Macaca mulatta: one gene and its partner. The protein of the gene in region 1 interacts with the protein of each later gene in a pairwise test. Links are inferred from orthologs where the notes say so. Each region holds a gene or a part of one and is shown in the gene's direction. Other genes may lie near its edges.

The links. The genes of interacting proteins can lie anywhere in the genome.
Region 2: the proteins of USHBP1 (region 1) and SERTAD3 interact in binary tests that used the Homo sapiens proteins (3 or more experiments, as listed by UniProt). The two-hybrid records come from large-scale screens. The link is inferred for Macaca mulatta from reciprocal best matches to the Homo sapiens genes USHBP1 and SERTAD3.

The regions. Positions count from the first base shown.
Region 1 is NC_133424.1:17,739,118-17,741,401, reverse strand, and holds part of USHBP1 (harmonin-binding protein USHBP1), read left to right. Parts: intron 1-54; coding exon 55-276; intron 277-1,898; coding exon 1,899-2,005; intron 2,006-2,193; coding exon 2,194-2,284.
Region 2 is NC_133424.1:51,551,264-51,555,359, reverse strand, and holds the start of SERTAD3 (SERTA domain-containing protein 3), read left to right. Parts: upstream 1-1,296; 5' UTR 1,297-1,342; intron 1,343-2,475; exon of another isoform or gene 2,476-2,794; intron 2,795-3,293; exon of another isoform or gene 3,294-3,562; intron 3,563-3,798; coding exon of another isoform or gene 3,799-3,804; coding exon 3,805-4,096.

The DNA.
Region 1 (2,284 bases):
CCCTGCAGTTGACCGTAGAAGCAGAAATTCTCTCCCCTCTCCTTGGTCCCGCAGGAGGCCCTGACGGACCTGATGCTTCGGCTGCAGCTGGTGAGGCGTGAGAAGCGGGGCCTAGAGCTGCGGGAGGCTGCCCTCCGAGCTCTGGGTCCAGCTCACGTGCTCCTGCTGGAGCAGCTGCGGTGGGAACGGGCGGAGCTCCGGACTGGTGGGGCAAACAGCAGTGGTGGACATAGCAGCGGAGGTGGCAGCAGTGGGGACGAGGAAGAGTGGTATCAGGTGAGCCGCCCTGCCTGAACCTGGTAGGGGTAGTAGCTTACTAATGAGAACATAGCCCTTGTCAATCACAGACCCCCTTTTTTTTTTTTTTTTTTTTGAGACGGAGGTTTGCTCTTGTTGCCTAGGCTGGAATGCAATGTTGCTATCTCTGCTCACCGCAACCTACGCCTCCCAGGTTCAAGTGATTCTCCTGTCTCAGCCTCCTGAGTAGCTGGCATTACAGACACACACCACCACATCTAGCTAATTTTTGTATGTTTTGTAGAGATGCAGTTTCACCATGTTGGCCAGGCTGGTCTCGAACTCCTGGCCTCAAATGTTTCGCCTGCCTCCGCCTCCCAAAGTGCTGAGATTACAGGCATGAGTCGCTGCGCCTGTCCTTAATGCAGCTCTTTGAATCATCTCTCCCACCTCCAAGCCTTTGTACATTCTGTGTCCCTGCCAGGAACTTCCCTCTTTGTGTCATAAAGTCCTTGACCTCCTGTAGATCTCAGCTTAGACATCACCTCCTCAAGGAAACCCTCCTGGAGTGACTTCAGATGAGGTTTCCTGTTATTTATTTCCCTTATCAGGTTACCCAGGCAGGGTGGTCCCAGCTACTGGGGAGGCTGAGGTGGGAGAATCACTTGAACCCAGGAGTTGGAGGCTTCAGCGAGCCACAATTACGTCATTTCACTCCAGCCTGGGCCACAGAGCGAGACCTCATCTCTCTTTATTTATTTAGTTTTTGAGATAGAGTTTTGCTCTTGTCGCCCAGGCTGGAGTGCGATAGTACAGTCTTAGCTCACTGCAGCCTCCGCCTCCCGGATTCAAGCAATTCTTCTGCCTCAGCCTCCCAAGTAGCCGGGATTAAAGGCGTCTGCCACCGTGCCCAAATGTTTATTTATTTATTTATTTATTTAGAGACGGAGTGTTGCTCTGTTGCCCAGGCTGGAGTGCAGTGGCACAATCTCGGCTCACTGCAACCTCCGCCTCCCAAGTTCAAGCGATTCTCCTGTCTTAGCCTCCTGAGTAGCTGGGATTACAGGGGTCTGCCACCATGCCAAGCTAATTTTTGTATATTTAGTAGAGACAGAGTTTCACCATGTTGGCCAGGCTGGTCTTGAACTCCTGACTTCAAGTGATCCACCCGTCTCGGCCTCCCAAAGTTCTGGGATTACAGGCGTGAGCTACCACACCTGGCCCCTAAATTTTATTTTTAGAGATGAGGTTCGAGACCAGCCTGGCCAACATAGTGAAACCCCGTCTCTACTAAAAATACAAACAGTAGCCAGGTCTGGTGGCATATGTCTGTAATGCCAACTACTTGAAAGGCTGAGGCAGGAGAATCGCTTGAACCTGGGAGGCAGAAGTTGCTGTCAGCCAAGATCGTGCCACTGTACCCCAGCCTGGGTGGCAGAGTGAGACTCTGTCTCAAAAAAAAAAAAAAATTTTTTTTTTTAAATTAAATAAGATATTTCCCTTATCAGAGTGTAATTTCGCTCTTATTGGGGTATGGAACCAGACGGGGGTCTCTGAGAGCACAGCAGCTGCCACTGTCTGGGCAGCTTCAATGTCCAGTGAGGGCCAAGCACGGACTTGGCCCAGGTTAATGTCACTTTGTTGTCTTCTCTCTCCCTTAGGGCCTTCCTGCTGTCCCTGGTGGCACCAGTGGCATTGATGGTGGCCAGGTGGGCAGGGCCTGGGACCCAGAGAAGTTAGCCCAGGAACTGGCAGCATCGCTCACCAGGTGTGTGGCTGGGTGGGGATGGGCAGCCTATGTGACAGCCCCCGGGGGGGCTGTCTGCAGCAGAAGCTAAGGTGTACCCCTGTGTACAGGTGTGTTTACATGACAATACTGTGGGCAGGTGGGTAGGAGGAGACGTGGGAAATAGGATGGGCTAGGGCTGTGAGCCCTCCTCTTCCCCTTCGCAACAGGACGCTGGACCTGCGGGAGCAGCTGCAGTCTCTGCGCAGGGAGCTGGAACGGGTGGCTCAGAAGGGGCGAGCCAGACGGTCTCAGAGTGCC
Region 2 (4,096 bases), about 34 Mb from region 1:
ATCCCAGCACTTTGGGAGGCCGAGGTGGGCGGATCACGAGGTTAGGAGATCGAGACCATCCTGGCTAACACGGTGAAACCCCATCTCTACTAAAAATACAAAAAAAATAGGCGGGCGTGGTGGCGGGCGCCTGTAGTCCCAGCTACTCGGGAGGCTGAGGCAGGAGAATGGCGTGAACCCGGAAGGCGGAGCTTGCAGTGAGCCGAGGTTGCACCACTGCACTCCAGCCTGGGTGACAGAGCAAGATTCCGTCTCAAAAAAAAAAAAAATAATAATAATAATAATAATAAATAATAAAGATCCAGAGGCCTTTTATTGTCATGTTTGAGAACTTATGTACCTGGCATTGTAGACACTGGGGTAAGGCAGGGAAGAAAACAAACAGACAAAATCCTTTCGTTTTCGTGATGGGGGGAATGGGAGCTTGAAGCCATTTTAGAAAAACTGGAAGTGACTCAATGGGGCAGGATCGGAGAGAACCAGGAGAGCGCATCAGGCAAGGTCGTGAGGGGCTTTGTGGCAAAAGGAAGGGGTTTGAAGTTTGTCTTCGGGGAGGAGGGGTAGGAAGCCATGAACAGCAGCGGAGGAGTCATCTTGTTGGAGCGGGGAAGAAGAGAGGTGTCAGGAGACCCAGGTAGGACCACCAGAGGACGCGTTGAGAAAACTCGAGGATTAAGAAGGGGCCGCGGGGTAACGTACGGGGGGCGGGAGAAGCGCAGCAAGGGGGCGGGGCTGCGATCGCCTAGGCAACGCGGGCCGCGTCACACCATTGGCTGGTCTTTCGGTACGTCATCCCCCGCCCCGGCGTCCGCCCTCGGAACCCCGGGGGCGCGGCCTCCTCCGGTTGTTCGGCCCCGCCTGCCTGGACCTCCCGGAGCCAGAGGGTATGCCAGCCCCTCTGGCTCCGCGGTGGGGTCCAGGCCTGGCAAAAAGGGACTGCAGGGAGTAGTGGTGACGATCTTGGAGCGAGGACCGTAGCCCAGTGGAAGGAAGCGGTTCTCTTGGACCAGCCGCCCTCCACCCCTGGAGGCGCTGCCCCGCCCCCTGCCAGTTGCACTCCTTTAAATGGCCCGGGGCGCTAGGGAGGGGTGGGCGGGTCCGGCGTCTCCGGGCAAGGGTGGATGGCTCCGCCCAGCCAATCGACGCCCCGCGGCGGGCGGGACTCCAGCCAATCGCGGCTCGCGGCTCGGCTCCGGGGCGGGGCTGGGTGGGCCCGAAGCCAGACGGAGAGGCCCTGCCGAGGTGAGCGAGGCCCCGGCCGGTCACTGGTGGGTCCCGGCACTGGCGGGTCGCGACGCTGTGGGCGTTCCAGGAGGTGGTCGTGGCAAACCTGGCAGCTGGGGTGAGGAGTGGTCGCCTGGCTTGGGAATTTACCTTAGGCTGGAGGAGGGAGAGGCGCGCCCCGGAGACTTGCGGAGGCGGGGTCTGGGTGAGACCGGGGGAGGGGGCCTCAGATTCAGGGTGATGATAGGGAGGGTCTGGGGGCCCGAGACTGAGTTCGAGACCCAGGAGGGGATGCGAGGTTGTTGGGGCAGTATTTTCAAGTGGAGGGAGTTTGAAGCTGGGACGTGGGGCGTGGGGCGTTTGGAGAAGCGAGAGAACAGAGGGAAGGAACTTTTGAGACAGGGAACCTGGAGATTCGATTCCACTTGGGTCTTCCGGACGGGTTGAATTCGGGGCTTTATCGTGTTCTGGAAAAGGTGTGAGAGGTTTGGGGCTGAGATCCTGAGTATTTGGAGAAGCGAGAGAGCTAGGGTCAAGGATTCTTGGACTCCAAGACGCACTGGCGGGGGAAGGGAGGATGCCGGGAAGAGTTCAATGTTCGGGTCTTGGAGCCGGGCAGCGAGTTTAGAGGTGTAGTCCAGGGGCGTTTGAAAGTCAGGAGAATAGGGGAAGTGGGAGGAAGTATCAAAATTAGGATACGTAGTCTCGCGAACTAGATCGCAGCATTGTCGTCTTTGAGCGAAGTGTTCGGATCTGGGTCTCTGGATCCAAGGGCAGTTTGGGAGGAGAATCCCGGACTTTCAAGGCACGGAGGGACAGGGAGAAAGCAGATTTAGAGCCGGAGTCAGGGGTGGGGGAGGGGTGTTCCGGGCATGGAGCTCAGACTCGCCGCCCCGGAGGCAACGGAGGGCGGGGCTCGGTGGGCGCCGGCAGCTGGACGTCCGGGTTCCCTTCCCCCACTCGCTTGTGCCACTGTGCGCATGCCCTGAGGGAGAGCGGGGTCGGGGGAGGGGGGCTCGTCCCCTGGACGGGCGGAGCCCTCTGGGGATTGTAGTGCGTGCTCGACGTCGGTTCGTGTACCTGGCGGCTGTTGGCCCCCGTTTCCCAGAAGCCCCTGGGACAAATTGGGGCGTTCCTGGATGCTCTCTAAAGACCCATGGAGGGGCGGGGCCTTGCAGTGCCGAGGTCTGATTGGGCGGGACCCCCCTAGGGGGCGGGGCTTGGTCTGAGCTGAGTTCTAGCAAGTTTTCCTGTGGGGCGCGCTTTGGGGGAATCTGAAAGCGCGGGCAGAGGGAATGAGGCCCCTTTCCTACTCTTGGGAGCGCTCCCAGTTGGTTAAGGAAGAGGACATGGAAATATCCTGACTGTGAAAGAAGAATCTTAACATAGGTGCCCCAGCAGGGACCCAGGAAGTTCGAATATAGTAGGCACTCAGTAAATCTGTTGAGCGTATAACTGGCAATTAACTCTTGATCGAGGCCGGGTGTGGTAGTAATCCCTACTCAGGAGTAATCAGCTACTCAGGAGCTGAGGCGGGAGGATCGCTTGAGCCCGGGACTTCGAGACTTCGGTGAGCTATGGTAGCGCTGCTGCACTCAGCCCCGGGCGACAGAGCGAGACCCTGTCTCTAACAAAAAAAAACAAACACGGCCGGGCGCGGTGGCTCAAGCCTGTAATCCCAGCACTTTGGGAGGCCGAGACGGGCGGATCACAAGGTCAGGAGATCGAGACCAGCCTGGCTAATACGGTGAAACCCCGTCTCTACTAAAAAATACAAAAAACTAGCCGGGTGAGGTGGCGGGCACCTGTAGTCCCAGCTACTCGGGAGGCTGAGGCAGGAGAATGGCGTAGACCCGGGAGGTGGAGCTTGCAGTGAGCTGAGATGCGGCCACTGCACTCCAGCCTGGGCGACAGAGCGAGACTCCGTCTCAAAAAAAAAAAAAAAAAAAAACAAAACACAACTCTGGTTCATTAAGCACTTCCTGTGTGGTGGGCCCTATAGATACGTGGCATCTCCTTAGACAGAGGTGGTGAGAAGTATTTTTTTTACAGTCCCCATTTTACAGATGAGGAAACTGAGGCCTGAGAATTGACTCAGGTCACTTCCCACGATCACGCAGCTGAGCAGTTTCCAGTACAGAAATCAAATTTGGGGTTCCCTACTTCCAATCCAGGTCTCTCTGCTCCACACCTGTCTTTCGTGCTCCATGTTTGAAGAAATTAATATTGTGGAAGAACAGTTTTAAGGCTCAGAGGAACTTGTTAGGATCCGTATTTGGCAGATGAGGAAATTGATTCTCATGGATGTAAATTCACTGTTTGAGGCCACAATAGGCAAGTAAGTGGGATTTAAATCTAGCTGTACTTAAGTCCAGATCTTATTTTCTTAATCACATATGTATTCACCTCCTTAACCTTGTAGGATTCAGACAGCCTTCATTTTATAGATGAGTAAACCGAGATTCAGATGATTAAAAATCACCAACAACTCAATAGGCCTGAAAAAGTGGGATTTGAGCCAGCACTACGGTGTCTGGTGTCTGACATGCCCCTATGCCCCTCTTCTCTCTACAGGGCATCATGGTGGGAGGCTTGAAGAGGAAACACTCTGATTTGGAAGAGGAGGAGGAGAGGTGGGAGTGGAGTCCAGCAGGCCTTCAGAGCTACCAGCAAGCCCTGCTCCGCATCTCCCTAGACAAAGTCCAGCGCAGCCTGGGCCCCCGAGCACCCAGCCTCCGCAGGCATGTCCTCATCCATAACACCCTCCAGCAGCTGCAGGCTGCACTTCGCCTGGCTCCAGCCCCTGCCCTGCCCCCCGAGCCCCTCTTCCTGGGCGAGGAGGATTTCTCCTTGTCAGCCACCATTGGCTCTA